3 linked regions of the Arabidopsis thaliana genome follow. The protein of the gene in region 2 interacts with the protein of the main gene of each other region in a biochemical or structural test. Each region holds a gene or a part of one and is shown on either strand. Other genes may lie near its edges.

Region 1 (6,078 bases), on a different chromosome or scaffold from region 2:
ATTTTACTCTAAAGAACAAAAACGCAAATCATTATTATTCAATCAAAATTTTTTACGACTTTTTTATCAGGAGATAATATTTTTTTCTATTTTGCGTTTTGTTTAATTTAAAGTAACTTTGATGGTAAATCAAAATATATTTTAGATAGGTACAAATCATTTTAGCGGACAAAAAAAATGTACAACAGCAAGAGGGTGATTTAGCAACAAAATTTAGCTTGAAAAAATTGATGTTTATAGATTATGTCTAAATCTGAATAAAAGAATAAATAATTAAGTTTGATAGATCATGCAAGAGGGTGGTTTAGCAACAAAAATAAACATATTACCCTGTCTCATAAATCATTGAGATTATCAATAAAAAAAACACCCAATTTCTGTCTTAATATTGTCCCCACCAATGTGAGTCCATATCTGATTCTCTGTTTCTTTCTTCCCTACTTGGAATTATATAAAAATATGTATATACATATTAATGTGTATATATATATATATATGTGCGTGTTCCCATATCAATGATAAATGCTCTTTATCAAAAGGTAAAATGATTATAAAAAAAAATAAGTTGTTTCATTTTATTTGTTGTTTTCAATGCAAAATTTATTATTATTTTATTATTTTTGATTCTTGAAATTCTGCAACTTTTTATTGGTTAAATTATTTTAAAATATGTAATTAAACATATTTTTAAAATTTAAGAAAACAGAAACTAAATGATCTTAATCAATGTACCAAAATCTTAAACTAGAACAAAATAGAAACAAAAGAAGTATTATAGAAGAAATTAACACTTTGTTCACTAACTTGACTACTATAAATGATTATAAATTAACACTTTATGTAGCATTCGACTTTTCTGTTTATAGAAGAGGAGACTCACTTAAGTCTTTAATATCATGTTTGCATATGTTGTAGTCTTTTGTTTTTAACATCTTTGGATTGACATGGTCTATTCTATAGCCAATATCTATTATGCAAGATAACACGATTTAGTGGAGTCAAACTCTGGTGGAAAAAGCGGAATCAAATGGATTTAACCACAAGACTAAAGGAATATTTCCTGCAAGATATATGTAGTCTTAAATCTATAATTTAGCGATATAAAAAAGGACAATTTTTAAATATGATACTTAAGTTTTTGTTTATTTCTTTAAAAATACCACTTAATGTTTGGTTTCTTAAAATAACATAAAACTTAAATTTAACTTCCAACATTCAAAATTAAACTCTAAACTTTAAACACTAAACCCTAACCCCTAAAAACAATATCTTAAAATTAAAATGGTCAATTCAAACTTAATTTTTTTAATTCTGATGAACTCTTGAAAATCAAAATTGAAGTATAATATTTTTGGAAAACAAAACTTTTGGTGGTATTTTGACAACACAACTTGAAAGTGTGATATTTTGCTACAATACTCCTCTAGAATTCGAGGCTCCCTTAAAACAAAATATTATTTTCGTGTCAGTCATATTTTTTTGAGACATTTCTCAAAATACCACATTTTCAAGTCTTATTGCTAAAATACCATTTCATCCGGTATTCGATCTTCTATCAAAAGAAAATTATATTCATGTAGGATGTCTAGGTTTGGTCCAGACAAGTTAAATGGTAATCTGGTAACATGCGATTCAGTTATGTTTAAGTGTTAATCAGTTAATATTCTAAACTCGGAATAAATGTGTGATGATCCTTGAATATAAATTTATTTTGTAATACTTAAATATATTTTTACCAAAATTAACCGGATCATTGGATAAAGTTTATAAAATAATTTTTTTTTGATGATAATGCCATGAAAACAATTTATAGTACGGATGAGAAACAATGAGGCTGATTATTTTATCTCCGTCAGCTACAAATGATCTCAGACATTTTGTTTTTATGTTCAACTTGGTTTTTTATTCAGAGGTTAAAAAATGGGCACAAGTTTCTATTCAGACACATACACACATAAATAAAATAGAGAATTCACTGTTAAAGTTAGTTGACACAATAGTAAATGCGATACATGCTAGAGTCACGGAAGAGGCAAAAACAAACTCCAAAGAGAGACATATAAGAAAAAGACAAAAACCCTTAAGAAGCTTATCACATTCTTAAAGCACGAAAATTCAGAATAAGATTCAGTCATCCTTTAGCACAAAAAAAAAAAAAAAAAGATCCAGTCATCCAATACTAGTTCCCCAGAAATAAAGGTGATATATTTTTTTTTTTGAGAAGCCTATCCAGTACCAACCTCAATTCTCTAGGTTAGATATAGTCTGGGTAGTATATATGTTTCTTCACTGATTAGTAATCTCTGTGTGTAGTACACTTACTCACTAGTGCTACTCTTTTGGATCTTTCTGGGGTTTTTCTTTTGGTTATAAAACCAGAAGAAGAAGATAACTGTTTGTTATTTTAATACTTACCATTATCATCATCTTTGTAGAGAGAGAGATATGCATCATTTTGTCCCTGACTTCGATACCGATGATGATTATGTCAACAACCATAATTCTTCTTTGAATCATCTTCCTAGAAAATCCATTACTACTATGTAAGTTCTTTTATTCAAACTTATATTAAAAAAAAAAAAAAGTTTGATTAGTTCAAGATCTGAGTATTTATAGTATTGAAAACTTTAGGGGTGAAGATGATGATCTTATGGAGCTTTTATGGCAGAACGGTCAAGTTGTTGTTCAAAACCAGAGACTTCACACCAAGAAACCTTCTTCTTCTCCACCGAAGCTTCTTCCTTCTATGGATCCTCAGCAGCAACCTTCTTCAGATCAGAATCTTTTTATTCAAGAAGATGAAATGACTTCTTGGCTTCATTATCCTCTCCGTGACGATGATTTCTGCTCAGATCTTCTCTTCTCCGCCGCACCTACTGCGACGGCTACCGCGACGGTGAGTCAAGTCACCGCCGCGAGACCGCCAGTATCTTCGACGAATGAGTCGAGGCCGCCGGTGAGGAACTTCATGAATTTCTCGAGGCTGAGAGGGGATTTTAATAACGGTAGAGGTGGTGAATCTGGACCGTTGCTTTCGAAGGCGGTTGTGAGAGAATCTACGCAGGTAAGTCCTAGCGCAACACCGTCGGCGGCGGCGAGTGAATCCGGTTTAACACGGCGGACGGATGGTACTGACAGTTCCGCCGTAGCTGGAGGCGGCGCGTATAATCGGAAGGGAAAAGCAGTGGCTATGACGGCGCCGGCGATCGAGATAACCGGTACATCGTCATCTGTAGTGTCAAAGAGCGAAATCGAACCGGAGAAGACGAACGTCGATGATAGGAAACGAAAAGAGAGAGAAGCCACCACTACTGATGAAACTGAATCCCGTAGCGAGGTGAGTCAAAAAAACACAGAACAGAGTCGTTGTTAGCTATCGTGCGCAAGTCAAATACGGCGCATTTTAGTCTGACTTTGTAGTTTTCAGCGCATTTTTAATTAACTTTTTTGGTGTTTTCTTGTGGTGCAGGAAACAAAACAAGCACGTGTATCAACAACATCTACCAAGAGATCTCGTGCTGCTGAAGTTCATAATCTCTCTGAAAGAGTACGTTTGTGTTTTTTCTTATGTTTTTGTAATCTTTTTCGATAAAGATTTCGCAATGAATCTGAAGAATGTCGCGGATTTGGTAACAGAAACGGAGAGATAGGATCAATGAGAGAATGAAAGCTTTGCAAGAACTTATACCTCGCTGCAACAAGGTCTTCGACGATCTTTTTTCTTTCTCTTCAAGTTATTGTATACGTTAACCTTGTTACTGATTGTTGTTTCTTTGATCCTCAGTCAGATAAAGCTTCGATGCTAGATGAAGCTATTGAGTACATGAAATCTCTTCAGCTTCAAATACAGGTTCATTTTCTTTAAAGGATTCTAAGTCTTGAAAGCCCTTTTTAAGTTCTTGAAAATGTACACTTTACCATGAAAACTCCAGTTTATATGACTGAGATTAATGCAGATGATGTCAATGGGATGTGGAATGATGCCAATGATGTATCCGGGCATGCAACAGTACATGCCTCATATGGCGATGGGTATGGGTATGAACCAGCCTATTCCTCCTCCTTCCTTCATGCCATTCCCCAACATGTTAGCCGCTCAAAGACCTTTGCCTACACAAACTCACATGGCCGGGTCAGGACCGCAATACCCTGTTCATGCTTCTGACCCGTCAAGAGTCTTTGTACCGAACCAGCAGTATGATCCAACCTCGGGCCAGCCTCAGTATCCAGCTGGTTACACGGATCCATATCAGCAGTTCCGCGGTCTCCACCCGACCCAACCACCTCAGTTTCAGGTACTAAACAGTCATCTCTTTCCCAAAAATGACTAGTTCCTCTGCTTACAAGTCACAAGTTCTTATCTTTCTTATTTTAGAATCAAGCAACATCGTACCCAAGTTCGAGCAGGGTGAGTAGTAGTAAGGAATCTGAGGATCACGGAAACCACACAACAGGTTAATAATGTCCATGGAGCAACAAGAAGATCTGTTTTCACAAGCAAACACAATTTCTTATCCGACCCGACCCAACCACCTCAGTTTCAGGTACTAAACAGTCATCTTTTTCCCAAAAATGGCTAGTTCCTCTGCTTACAAGTCACAAGTTCTTATCTTTCTTATTTTAGAATCAAGCAACATCGTATCCAAGTTCGAGCAGGGTGAGTAGTAGTAAGGAATCTGAGGATCACGGAAACCACACAACAGGTTAATAATGTCCATGGAGCAACAAGAAGATCTGTTTTCACAAGCAAACACAATTTTGAGAAATTGACAGAGAGACCTAACATGTATATATATCGCCATCTGTTTCTTGTTTTTCTTTGGTTTGTTTTGTCCTCTCTTCTCAGGTTGTATACTTAGAGAGCTGTACATGTAATGATCCAGAGATCTAGGAATCAATACATAGAGGTTGCAGAGGCTTAGTGCAAAGAATAAATATGAGAAAGTTAGGTTCATATACATACCCGATCATTATTCTTTTCTCGTCTATTATTATTACTTTTGACGAAAGCAATTCTTGATTAAGCTTAACAGTGAATATTTACAAATGTTCCACTCCCAAGTCCCAAAGACTTATCGATACAAATGCACAAACAAATCTTAGTCCTTGCAACTAAGCTCACAATGTGACACAAAATATGTAAATAGACGGACAAAAGCCAGCAAACAAAAGCAAGAAAATTAATGATGTAATTGGCCAAGCATTGCCCATTTTGTAGTGTCTTTCATAGGATCTCTTCATCTAAAAACGTAGTGATGTCAACTAATATGGTATCTCCAGTCCATGACCATAATATCGAAAATATAAAGCTAAAAGAAAAGGCAAACAAATTTCTCAAACCGTTAAGACTTGCTATCTCCATGACCATAAGACTTGACAAACATGCATATATATGTATCAAACCGTTAAATCAATTTTGTATTTGCTTAATAAAGAAGATGTAAAAAGAAGTTTAACATTTATAGTATTTGAAAACTTATATATTAGTATTACTATTTCCTTATTTTTGTCAAAGTTATTTTACTATATATTTCCTTAACACATCAAAATAGAAGGTATACTTATACGTAAATGACCTTAAAGATTTGTTAAGTAATGGTGCATCCTCCTGGTCCTCCATAGAAAATTGCACTAGACCACTCCTCACCGACCCCTGTTTTTGTTTCGACTTTATAACATTTTGGGCTGTTTGCGAATAATCTTAAATCTTTAACTGGTGGACTTCTAATTTTTTCTATTTCACGATCTATCACTTTAAGGCCGTTCACAAAAGCTGCCTTTTTGAAACCTTCTTTTGGGAAATGTCCACTTCCCATGAGTGGGCTTGTACTCTGTCTCAGTGCACTGAAAACTTCTCCTCCCCAAAACACACGACTTGCTCCATAAGCTAAACCTTGAACATGAAACAATGATTTTGGCCAATACCCAATTGGCTCGTTCTTTATCAAAAACCACCAGTTTCCTGTAATATTATCCTGCTTAAACCAAAAGCAGTAACTCTTTTAGAAGTAGCGATTGAAATTAGAGTTTTTTTTTTTTTTTTTTTTTATATATAGGTTTTATGGAAATTGAAACCAA
Region 2 (5,937 bases):
TGTATATTCACACAAAATTTCTATGAAAACTAAATTAACTTATTCTGAAAATTTGAGAATAATTAATTGCTAACTTACAAGTTTAGTAATCAAGTACTTTTACTTTATTTTTCACTTATTCAAAACGATCATATTTACATATACTAAACTGGCCGATTTGACCGGTTAATACTGATTTTGAACGCTTAAACCGAAAACCCTATTTGATTCACCGATTTCACTAAAATCGGGCCGCCTAGGCCGATTTTTTGAACCTTGTGAAAAACTAATCAATAATATTATTGAAAACTCTCTACAAATAGTTTATAGTTTAGAATCTTTCATTTATTTACTTTATATGATATTATTAAAGTCTTCAAAATTTCTTTTTAGTTAGGAACCAATAACACCTCCTAGTTATTTCTTCCTTTTTAAGATTCAAACACTTTTTGCATGTATTATGTGTTTTGAGATACAGTAAAACCTCTATAAATTAATAAAGATGGAAGTATGATATTTTATTAATTATAGTGATTAATAATTTATCTATAATTAATATATTAATTTAAATTTAAATTATTAATTTATAGAGATATTTGTTTTAATTTTTCAAATTTTAGAAACTATGAGATGTTATAAATTTTATAGTAATATAATTGAAAATTTAATATTTAAAAAGCTCATTTGACAATAAATCACAAAAACTATAATTGAAAATGATGCATACTAAGAAATTAGAAACTTACAAAACATTATGGCTAATTTTTTTACAAAGTTATAAACGATTCTATAATTTGACAATTGAAAACCCCAACATAATTCAATCAGACTTAGAGACAAAACAATTGTTTGATAGAATAAAAGTTAGAGACAAACTCTAACAAGATTCAATACTTAAAAGACATTAAAACCATATTTTTATATAAAGCTTTCCAAAAGATTATTATATTATTATTTTATCGAAGTTTGTTAATTTTTACATCGGCCCAACTCGGAATTTATAGAGGTTTTACTGAACTTTTGTTACAAACAATAGATTACAACATGTAGGAAGACTACTAGACTGATAGAAACCAAAAAGAGTCATCGCCTAAAATGGATATTGACGACAGAAGGTGGCATGAAAAGTGTTTGTTGAATAGAGATGGCAAGTGGTAAATGAGGATGGAACAAGAATGAACATATCTTCTTGCTTCGACCATCTGCAGTTCCACACTCTGGTCCTGTTCACCATTAGACAATCCTAACGTTAAATCATGTTCCGTGCGGTTTGGGTTTTCGTCATCTTAATATCTAAACAACTAAAACAACCAACCTGGTTTTATCTTGAATTTCAGGGTTTGCGGTTGCCTTCGAGATATGAACTTGATTGGGTTGTCTGAGGATTGCCTATGCCTATCTGCTGCGGATATTAACTGTAACCATATCCGAAATTAACTTAACTCAATCCTGAAGTTGAAGAGAATAAGGGTTTATAGAATGGTTACCTTTTCATCGAACCGGAAGAGAGACTGGTCGAAATATGGGGAGGGACTTTGTGACTGACAACTGAAAGGCAAAGAGAGTAACATCTTCTTCACAAACTGTATAGAAAAATTGATTAGATTCAACTCTCTCATAAAAACCAACATATCGAAATACAGAGATGTACTTACCTGAGAAAAACTGTTTGATTTGTTCTTCGTGTATTTTAGTTGTTCAAGGGCATAGACGTTGTTAGAATGCGATGTTACAAAGTTCATGAACGGTGTACTACTTGATACTGTAAAGTGATCACTGAACTGCTCAAATAATTGGTAAAGATCTTCTGCTGAGTTCTGCATATAGTAATGTACTAAGTCAAGTTATAAGTAGATGCAAATTCCACAAAATAACTGGCCAAAATGACATCCATTTTACCTGATAGAATGCTACAATGTCAGTAGTCTCCATATTATACACCGCGAAGAAAGCTGGATGATGATCAGCACTTCTTGTTACCTGAGTAACCCATCAACAATCATAAGTCTAATCAATCAAATTGTAATTTCTGAAAATGACAGTATCAGTTCAATGTAACCATGAATTTGTATTATAGAGAGCTTACCCCACCGTCTACACTTCCAAATTTGATTAGCAGGTGTTGTCGATCCAAAAACTGAACCTGGACATCAAGAATACACAAAAGATTAGTTTTTTTCACCATCAAATCCAAACACTTGACACAGATTCCAAAAGCAGAAACACATAATTGATTACCTTCCATATAATCAAGTCGACATAATCCTGGAAATGGAAATAAAACTTCTTCTTAAGACTTTGAACTCTCTGTCAAATCAAATAGTGCCTTTCGATTAGTTCGTATCCAAGATGTAGTGTTTCAATACGACACACATTGCAAACTACAACGAAAGGTCGAAAATGCAAAGAGCATGTATATGATAAGCTGCATCAACTAAGAAGTCACTGTCAACTGCATCAATCCTAAACCTTAAACTTCTGTTATCCTACTCAACATCTAACAGAGGAAGCCAAGCAGTACACAAACATAACCCATTTAATGTACAAGATTGTGAAACTCAGAGCAATTTCATAAAGTGATAAGAGAAGTTGAAGAACAACGAACCATTACGTTATCTGATTCTTCATTCCAAATCTCCCTGAAGATAAAAGAAAGTAACCGTTGCTTAACACCACTAAGAAACGAATTCGAACCACTTGGCTGACTTAGACTATGACGCAACCCATTCTCTCCAGTATCATCTTCCTTACTCCCAGATAAACTCTGCTGTTTACTCTTATCTTGACTCATCATTGCCTAACAATCAAAAACCTCACAAAGCTCAAAACTTTATCTACTCCAGAGAAAGATACTGTAAAAACTTTGCTTACCTGAGAGCTAGAATTGAGGAAAAGCTCATCATCTTCACGACAAAAGTAACCAATAGCACGAGCATCAACAAGATGACCAGAATCTCTAATCTGAAGAAGATGAATCCTCTGATAACGCAACGACAAAATCGCTAAAAGATCATCATAAAGAAACACACCCATATTATGAGCCAGATTAACGAAATCATGAAGAAAAACCCTCTCATCAAGAACAACACCATCATCTAATCGAAGAAGTACGAAAGTAATCTTATCAATGGAAGGAACACCAGGAACAGCGTCATTAGAAGGAGATGATGAATCATGGATCTGAGCTGTTGAAGTAGCGAAAAGACCGAAACGACGAGTTTGGTGATAGAGGAAGAAGTCTTTGCAGATGAGTTCGTTAGAAGAAGCGAGATTGACTGAGTAGAGTTGAGTGAAAAAGCTGTCGAATTTCGAAGCACGGCGAGGTAGAGGAGGTAGGGTGGTTGTGGAATCATCGGTTGTGGAGTAAGTGAGCCAAGAAGGACGATAGACTATGAGTTCTTGATGGTTACGGCTGAAACTAATGAGGAAGAGTCCGTCTTCTGTGAATTTGCGGAAACAGTGATCGGGAGATTCGACATCGTAGAGTGTGTAGCTTGGGACTAGGTTTTCGTAGAAGTGTCTTGCACGATTTACCTATCATTGAAGGTAAAGAGATAAGCAAAAGAGAGATTGAGATTGAGAGATTGAGACAGAGAGAGAGATTTGGGGACTGACGGAAGCGCCGGGAGGAGGAGTTCGAATCTGACGTTCGAAGACCCGAGCGGTGACGTTACCGCTTGTGAACATTTGTTGGCCCAGAAGGGCACGAATAAAGGAAGGTTTTTGGTCTGGTTTTAGTGGTGAAAATGGAGGAGACGATGTGAGTGAGAGAGAGAGAGAGAGAGATACTGTGGCTTTGTTTTGGTTCTGTTGATTTTTCTCTTTTGGGAGGTTGGTTTCTCTCAATCTGTTAATGGGCCTGATATTGGTGTTTGAAAATGGCCCAATAGTTGCAAAATTGGGTCATTGGCACTTATCGGTACTACTTCCTCTTTGTACAATTTCTCTTGTTGTATTGCTTTGCTTAGTCGGAGCTTAAGTATGGACATTCACATTTTGGATCGGATTTTGGATCGGATTCGGTTCGGATTTTCGGATTCAGATGGGAAAGTTTATTATCCGGTCGGGTTTTATGACTATTCGGTTTGGTTTCGGTTCGGATAGTGTCGGATTCGGATCGGTTTTTGAGAAAAAAAAATATATATTGTTCCGTTTTAATAAAATTGGTTTAATTTTGCAAAAAAAATTGTATAATTGTAACAAATATAACTTAAAAATTCGGACGTATAAACCTGTAACTAATATTTTTGTTATTTAGAAATTTTTGGGTATAAACCTGTAACTAATATTTTTAGATAGATATAATTTTATTTCGGATTAGCGGATATTTATTCGGTTTTTGATTCGGAATCGGATTCGGCTGAAGTAATTTGGGTAGGTGAATTCATTATCCGTTCGGATTTTGTGACTGTTCAGTTCGGTTTCGGAACTTTTTTCGGATCGGTTCCTATCTACCTACCATTTTTTACTTCCCATTTTGTTGATCGGTAACAACAAGAACTGCAGTGGCAATACACTTGTTGGAACGAATCATACAATCAATACACTTGTTGGTAAAGCCTTATGCATCTCAAAGCCAGCTTCTTTGCTAGTGAGGGCCTTACTTAGGGAACTTGAAAGAGGATTGAGTTTGAAGTTGAAGCTCAAACAATTTAAATCATATAAAGATGGACGTTACTGTATCGTGAAGTCACAAAGAACACTGAACAGAATCTAGAATCCGACTGTACATATTTCAAAGCTGTGACTAAAGCAATACATAAGCCAAATTATAACTTAAGAATGCTTCACATTACAATCAACATATTTTTTGCCTATTGGAATGCACAAGGGAATGTAAAGAATCGACTCTGTTTATCCGATTTTCTGTCTGCACAATCACGAACGTGTACACTCGATACCCCGACATATAGCCAACCAAATACCAAACAGTGTCAAGCAAATAGCTGCATCAATAGCAAGAACAATCTGAACTAACCGCCGCCATTTCCATTCAAAGCTTTGAGTAACAGAACGTCCACTACTCGACACACACTCCTTCTCCAACGACGTTCCAGCTCCCGCTGAATCATCGGTTATGTTCCCTCTATCATTAGACTTCCTGTGTTCCTCAAGCTCAATCACATGATCTTTCCCTTTCTTCTTCTCTTGCTTACTTAACCTCCCCAACAACGGAGCTTTAGTAGAATTCGAACCTTCGCTTTGTTCACCAAGATTACTACTCTTCAATTCATTGTTACTACTACTCTCAGCAACACGTTCAAGAGAAGCTATAAGTCTAGTAACAACAGGAACAAGCTGATCTTCAACATTAATAGAACCAATCATAGCAGTAAAACTTCCTCTAGAATTCTCCCTAGCAGCTTTCTTAAATTCATCTCTCAAATGTTCAAGAAACTTAAGAACACTAGATCTCTTCAAAACCTCATCAACAATGGCGAAATAAACAAACCCATCTCCAATTAAAAACCCAAATCTTCTTTTACCAATAGTTTCAAAGTACCAAGTATGAAAAGGAGGAGACTTTTCTAAACACAGAGCAGCAAGACTCTCGTTGGTTTGGTCTCCACCGTTGTAAGAGTAAAGAATCTGATTGTCTCTTGAGACACAACAGTAATGAACTGTGTTCTTGATTAAACCCATCTTTTTTTTTGTTTTTTTAAGAAATCAAATTGAGACAGAAGAGGAAAGAAGAGAAGTCTGTGATTAGAGCAAAGAAGAAGAGAGAAATTGAGATGATGGAGTCAGAGAGAAAGTCAAAGAGAAGAAGAAAGTACCAACAAAATCCTTCGGCGATGTCTTCAAAATCGAGGATGAATTCTCTCATTCCTCTTCTTCTTCTCTCTAGGGTTCTTGGGTCATGTGTGAGCTTTTTGTTTGAGATGTTTATCTTTGTGATGAAAAAGTCAGAACTCGACGACCAAACTAGAGGACGTGGTCCACAACACTAAAAAAAAT
Region 3 (6,905 bases), on a different chromosome or scaffold from region 2:
ATAATTTTAACTTGCATTATACAGCAGATAGGCTTATATTTTAGTTAAACTAAAAACTTTTATTGTAAAATTGATTATAAATATATGATATTATTTTATTTGATTTTAAATGTATAGAAACTACGAGTTGTATATGTTTTGTTGATATTATTTATATTGTTTAGTGTTTAAAATTATATACTTGTATTTTGATTGTTAATTTTAGAGTTTCACATGTAGTATACCATCTTGTATTAATATTGATTTAAACCCGTCAATTGTAGGATTTTTCAGCTTGTATTAAAAATTGAATCACATCATACACATTAAAAAATCTAATATGTTATTAATTATTGTAGTATATAAGATTATAAATTTTAAAATAATATGTATGAAATTGAATATAAATATTCAAATTATGACACAGTACTCAGTAATTTTTTTTCTTAAATCTACTTTTGACCCGTTATAGTATTTTTTTCATGTACTGAACAATTTATATTCGTTTTTAAAAATTCAAATTGTGGCATATGCGAAAAAACTCTAATTATTTTTTTATAACGATGATATTATTTTTTCGCAAAAATAGAATCATATAAAGATGAGAGGTGAATTATAATAATTAATAAAAAATTAATATGATAATATTGATATCAAATCTAATTTGTTGATTTTAATTGGTTACTTTTTTGGAAATTAATAATGTATTTCGTTTTTGAGTTAAATTTAATTAATTAAATTAGTATTTGACTTTTTAATTTTTAAAGAAATGAATTAATTTACTCTTTAAAATTTTATTTCTAATGGCATACGTATGTAATTACTTACAAAAAATAAGGTTACATTTTAAAAATTAATATGATAATTTAGATATCAAATCTAATTTGTTGATTTTAATTGGTTACTTTTCTGGAAATTAATAATGTATTTCGTTTTTGAGTTAAATTTAATTAATTAAATTAGTATTTGACTCTTTAATTTTTAAAGAAATGAATTAATTTACTCTTTAAAATTTTATTTCTAATGGCATACCTATATAATTACTTACAAAAAAGAAGATTATATTTCAAATGTACTTCCCAAATAATATAGTAGGATCACTTCCATTCCGAGTTTTCTTCTTTCTTTGATATATATATCTACTTATTTATTTACTCGGTTTGATTTTATAATAAATTTGTTTATAATTATTTTCTGAACAAGAGATGGCCATAAAATACAGTGATGAAATCAATAATGGTCCATGCAAATGTACTCAAATTATCCACTTGGAAAGTTTATAGTATACAATGGGTTGTTACGTATTTTAGAATCTAATTTGCATGGCGATTTAATTGACATTTCATCATCAACCGAGCTATAACGAGAGATAAACCAGAAGATGCAACGTTCGTGAACAAACTCGACTGATATTCTAGATGGTTTTATTTATTTTTTACTTATAGAAAGGAACAAATTAGATTTAAAGATAATATGCTCTAATCTAAGAGTTTGGAACCACTATACCACATACTATATCCCATGATTAAAAAAAATCTCAATTATTATAGCGCAAATGATTGGTTTTCATCAGTTAATAGAACTTGCTGAGTGAGTCCCCAAATTTGAGGATGATTAGTAATTTAGTATCGTAAAGACTAAAAAAGACTTAAGAAAAATAGTAATGATTAGAGAAGTCAAACCTTTAATAATTAAGATAGATAAAGAGAGACAAGGTTGCTCAACCCCACTTGGAGTGTGATGCTTTTTTGGCAGTGTTCCTTTATGATAACACATCTCTTCACACACAACTTTAGTGTATCACAGGCCCATGTCACTTTAAGATAAGATAACATATTCTAGTATATGATTATTTTCATATTTGTAAGTGTATTAAATTATTCATAGACACACCATGAATTAATTGTAATAATGCGAAGGACCTGTATCATGTAACAGAGACAGACGAAGTGTGCAGAGGTCGGTGAGAAGCAATTTGGTCACCATGCTCCAACTCTCTTCTCTAGGTCCCTTTTGCTTTAATTTTCTCGTTTAATAACAATATCTTATGAAAGCAGTTACCATATCAATTGAAGGATTGTATAATACCGTAATTTATTTATATATAGTACATCTAATTAAACATTAATTATTTCTACTAATAGCCTAAAACCACTACTAATACAACAACTAGTACTTGTTTACGATAATTATTAAACTTGTCTCGATACCTACAACATGCCCAAAAAAGTAATCAATACTTTGTTTAATCACAAAGATCTCAGTGAGATGGTTCTATAGATAGTATTTCTGATTTGTTAGTATATTAGAGAATTGACCATCTATTAAAATAAGAGAATGAACACTATTTGATAAAACAATACATACGCAATTATCATTGTCTTTAATTTTTATCAAAGTAATCATACGATCGACTATTTGTATGCAAAAATTCATCATTTTATTTGCAAAAAAAAACAAACAAACATGGTAGAATTGTATTTGGTGTGTGTTTTAACAAATTGTTGCAATGTTTAGTGCAACATATATAATCCACTATATATAATCATTGACATAATTAATATTTGATTATATGAAGCAATTTCTCTTTAATTATGTGTTTATAAATATAGGGAGAAAAGAAAAATAGAGAGAAAGGTAAAGAGTAGAGCTAATGATTCGGGCGACGCTAAAAGGTTGAATGTTCGAGAGAAACGGAGTCTCAGAGACTGTGAAAACAAAAAATCAAAATCCTCAGTTACAGACGATTTGGTCCCCTCTCTTCTCTCTCTGCGTCCGTCTTGTGCGTCGATTTGTCTCCATCTCCTTCTCTCTCCGCCTACTTTCTCAGGACTACTCCAATTCGCCGACTTTTTCTCCTCTGTTCTCTGCATTTGGATTGATGCCACTTTAATACTTTGAGGTTCTCACTCTCTCTTTCTCTCTTCGCTGACTTCGATTGCTTCAGTACCCTTTTTCTCAGGTCAGCTACGATGATAGCTTTATTCAGACAAGAAGATCAAAGTTTTGATCTTTTTGTTTTGGTTTTCTTAAGAGATGGTTAATTAGGTCTTGAGTGCGCTGTTTTGAATCGTTCTTCAGTGTGATTAAACAATTGGTTTTGATTTGACTAATCATGTTGCCATTAAACTAAGTGAAAATCTCTGCTTTTTTTATATTGCATATTGATGATTGAGACATTGATTTCTTTTCTATTTCTTTATTTCCCAGTTTCTAATTTGGGAACTGAAAAGTTTTCTAATTTAAGCATTACAAAGTGTACAATTTTTGTTTCTGGCAAGTTTTTCTTGGCCTAATTCGTCTATTTTATGAATTCACCTTTTTAGGATCAAGACTTCGTAAAAGATTGTTTCTGTAAAACGCAACACCATGCCTCTGTTTGAGCTTTTCAGGCTCACCAAAGCTAAGCTTGAATCTGCTCAAGACAGGAACCCTTCTCCGTGAGTCCCATTCACTTGTCTCTCTTTAAGTCTGCCTTGTTTCAAGTTCATCAAATTCATGTGTTTTTTTGTTGTGTGTGAAAAATAACAGACCTGTAGATGAAGTTGTGGAGCTGGTGTGGGAAAATGGTCAGATATCAACTCAAAGTCAGTCAAGTAGATCGAGGAACATTCCTCCACCACAAGCAAACTCTTCTAGAGCTAGAGAGATTGGAAATGGCTCAAAGACGACTATGGTGGACGAGATCCCTATGTCAGTGCCATCACTAATGACGGGTTTGAGTCAAGACGATGACTTTGTTCCATGGTTGAATCATCATCCCTCCCTTGATGGATATTGCTCTGATTTCTTGCGTGATGTGTCGTCTCCTGTTACTGTCAACGAGCAAGAGAGTGATATGGCGGTAAACCAAACTGCTTTCCCGTTGTTTCAGAGAAGAAAGGATGGCAATGAATCAGCTCCTGCTGCTTCTTCGTCGCAGTATAACGGTTTCCAATCGCATTCTCTGTATGGAAGTGATAGAGCTAGAGATCTTCCTAGCCAACAAACCAATCCGGATCGGTTTACTCAGACGCAGGAACCACTAATTACTAGTAACAAGCCTAGTTTGGTCAACTTTTCACATTTCTTACGCCCTGCAACTTTTGCGAAGACTACTAATAATAACCTTCATGACACTAAAGAAAAGAGTCCTCAAAGCCCGCCAAATGTGTTTCAGACCAGAGTTCTTGGAGCTAAAGACTCTGAAGATAAGGTTCTTAACGAGTCTGTTGCTTCTGCTACGCCTAAAGATAACCAAAAGGCTTGCCTAATATCAGAGGACTCATGTAGAAAAGACCAAGAGAGTGAAAAAGCAGTTGTATGTTCTTCTGTTGGCTCGGGTAATAGTCTCGATGGCCCATCCGAAAGTCCTTCACTTTCTTTAAAGAGAAAGCATTCGAATATTCAAGACATTGACTGTCATAGTGAAGTGAGTTAAACTCATGTCATTTTATGCACATTACAATTTCGTTTCTTTGTTGTTTTCTTCAGTTTTTTTATTGAATATTGTTGAGCAGGATGTGGAAGAAGAATCAGGAGATGGAAGAAAGGAAGCAGGTCCATCTCGAACGGGTTTGGGTTCAAAGAGAAGCCGCTCTGCAGAAGTGCATAATCTGTCTGAAAGGGTGAGTGAGTGAAGCCCCTAAAGGGTTTTTGTCCATTCTCAAACTCACAAAAGATTGCTATATTTGGTAACTTACTGTCCTCAATTTTCAGAGACGGCGTGATAGGATCAACGAGAAGATGCGTGCCCTGCAAGAACTCATTCCAAACTGTAACAAGGTCAGCTTCTTCTCCTTTACAAATACCATTCATGATTCATTTTTGTTTGAAAGATAAGGAGCAATGCCAAATAAACTAAAACTTGCATCTTAGAACGAATTGCTAAAGGTTTTTGATTGGTTTCCGTATTTATTAAACCGGAAAAACAATTGAAACCATATTGTAAGCAAGATTGTTCAAGCCGAGAATTTTCGTATTTAATCAGCTTTTGTAACATTTATATGGTTTAAAGGTGGACAAAGCTTCGATGCTAGATGAAGCCATCGAGTATCTCAAGTCACTCCAACTTCAAGTGCAGGTAACACTCTCATTACTCTCTAGAGTCGATAAAAATCGTGCAAACTAATAATCTAAACACAATAATCGCCAACAGATCATGTCAATGGCGTCTGGTTACTATCTGCCACCGGCGGTTATGTTCCCACCGGGTATGGGGCATTACCCGGCAGCAGCTGCTGCAATGGCAATGGGTATGGGAATGCCTTATGCAATGGGCTTGCCTGATTTGAGCCGTGGTGGTTCATCGGTTAACCACGGACCACAGTTCCAAGTCTCGGGGATGCAACAACAACCAGTGGCGATGGGTATTCCACGTGTCTCTGGTGGTGGTATCTTTGCCGGTTCTTCGACGATTGGCAATGGCTCGACTAGAGATTTATCTGGTTCTAAAGATCAAACAACGACGAATAACAACAGTAACTTGAAACCAATAAAGAGAAAACAGGGGTCTTCTGATCAGTTTTGTGGATCGTCGTGACATAAATACAAACTTATGAACTGATGTATTGTTTATTTGTAGCATTCAAACAAATCTATTTTATAATCCTAAACAAAATTAATTTGTGTTCGTTATAACAGTGAAGAGCTTTGTGCTTATTGGTGGGTTCTGTTCTGTTTCTTGTTTTGAATTAAAAAATGTTTTTAATATTTTCAAAGGTTTTGTTCCCTTTTTAATGTAGCGTGGGGTTCACTATATAGATGGACCTGGTTAAACAAGCGTGATGGGCTTCTCAGCCCATTTTGTTAAATAACTTAATTATGACATTTTCTTTCGATTTCCTTTTTTTTCTTTTTTTGGGCCAGGACTATTGAACTAGTGAAGCTGAATATATACCCACGCGAAAATTGAAATTATTGGAAGTTTTTTTTTTTTTTTTTTTTTGTTGGAACCTATAGGGTGTATATAAGTTACATGATACACGGTGTTTGAGCGCATCACTTAGCTTGATATGTAGTTTATGTTATACGTAGTAAGTGATTCGCTCACGCATGACTGTTACGTTTTCTTTAACAAAAAGAAAGGGAATCGATGGTTAGGGTTAGGTCAACGATCGGAGGAGTTGAGCTAGAGCCTAGAGAACCATAGTTTGGAAGAGGGCAAATGTGAGCTCCTGATTTGTTTCTCGGATGCTGGAAGCTATATATATGTCCATGATTGTATCGATTGGGAGTTTTGTCGAAAGTAAAAAATTTCTTCCTCAATTCTTTAGGAAGTTTGTTACTTTGTTTTATGTTCACAAAACGTTGTCAACTTCTCGTAGATGCTTGTTTCTATAGTTAGAGATGTTTTATATACCCAGCCTGCCAGCCAGCGAGCAGACTTTTATTAATAGTTTCCCCTATATATAGGCTATATAGCTTTAGCGTAAACTTAAGTTCTGTGTGGTAAATCGCGTCTTCACAAACATTTTTGCACCAAAGACTTCTTAAAAGTAATATATAGAAGAGAAATTTAGATGATTCTGTCCTCGTTTAAATTGATGAGACTTATTAAACTTAAGTAATGCATAATAAATAAAACATTAAAACCTTTAGTACTGAAAAAGGTAGTCTATATAGTGGAAAGCAGAGAAGAACAAAAAAGGGTTTATACTTCCATTTAGATTTTGTATCTTCTAATGGAGGTGGATTAGACAGCTCTAACTAATTACGAAAGACAACAAGCAGTAGAAAATGGACACGTCGAACACCTAGGGAGACAAATTAATGAATTACACGAGGTTTAGATCGAAACTTGAAATAGAAGAAAATGGTGTTAATGTGGCAAAGCAAAAGAAAAGTTAAACATCATTTTGCTTTTGGCTACATTAATATATCAAGATTACCTATGATTATGTCTCTTCTTCTCTCCTTTCTTACCAGTTAGATTGGGCCATATTAGA

What was found.
Region 1: the proteins of DET1 (region 2) and PIL5 form a complex in vitro, tested with the Arabidopsis thaliana proteins (one study listed by BioGRID).
Region 3: the proteins of DET1 (region 2) and PIF3 form a complex in vitro, tested with the Arabidopsis thaliana proteins (one study listed by BioGRID).

Annotation. Positions count from the first base shown.
Region 1 is NC_003071.7:8,702,906-8,708,983, reverse strand, and holds PIL5 (phytochrome interacting factor 3-like 5), read left to right. Parts: upstream 1-1,979; 5' UTR 1,980-2,199; exon of another isoform or gene 2,200-2,435; 5' UTR 2,436-2,445; coding exon 2,446-2,543; intron 2,544-2,631; coding exon 2,632-3,337; intron 3,338-3,469; coding exon 3,470-3,547; intron 3,548-3,636; coding exon 3,637-3,702; intron 3,703-3,784; coding exon 3,785-3,850; coding exon of another isoform or gene 3,851-3,865; intron 3,866-3,956; coding exon 3,957-4,295; intron 4,296-4,375; coding exon 4,376-4,459; 3' UTR 4,460-4,544; intron 4,545-4,624; coding exon of another isoform or gene 4,625-4,708; 3' UTR 4,709-4,960; downstream 4,961-6,078. Other genes in the region: AT2G20170 (NEP-interacting protein, putative (DUF239)), read right to left, coding at 5,589-5,975. UniProt on the Arabidopsis thaliana protein: Transcription activator. Negatively regulates chlorophyll biosynthesis and seed germination in the dark, and lightinduced degradation of PIF1 relieves this negative regulation to promote photomorphogenesis.
Region 2 is NC_003075.7:6,344,272-6,350,208, reverse strand, and holds DET1 (light-mediated development protein 1 / deetiolated1 (DET1)), read right to left. Parts: upstream 3,799-5,937; 5' UTR 3,667-3,798; coding exon 3,595-3,666; intron 3,514-3,594; coding exon 2,851-3,513; intron 2,777-2,850; coding exon 2,585-2,776; intron 2,287-2,584; coding exon 2,218-2,286; intron 2,123-2,217; coding exon 2,066-2,122; intron 1,960-2,065; coding exon 1,879-1,959; intron 1,797-1,878; coding exon 1,635-1,796; intron 1,563-1,634; coding exon 1,467-1,562; intron 1,395-1,466; coding exon 1,295-1,394; intron 1,203-1,294; coding exon 1,063-1,202; 3' UTR 895-1,062; downstream 1-894. Other genes in the region: AT4G10170 (SNARE-like superfamily protein), read right to left, coding at 4,858-5,622. UniProt on the Arabidopsis thaliana protein: Component of light signal transduction machinery. Involved in repression of photomorphogenesis in darkness by participating in the CDD complex, a complex probably required to regulate the activity of ubiquitin conjugating enzymes (E2s).
Region 3 is NC_003070.9:3,073,868-3,080,772, forward strand, and holds PIF3 (phytochrome interacting factor 3), read left to right. Parts: upstream 1-1,900; 5' UTR 1,901-1,985; intron 1,986-2,533; exon of another isoform or gene 2,534-2,591; 5' UTR 2,592-3,348; coding exon 3,349-3,419; intron 3,420-3,510; coding exon 3,511-4,390; intron 4,391-4,478; coding exon 4,479-4,586; intron 4,587-4,677; coding exon 4,678-4,743; intron 4,744-4,975; coding exon 4,976-5,041; intron 5,042-5,116; coding exon 5,117-5,500; 3' UTR 5,501-5,787; downstream 5,788-6,905.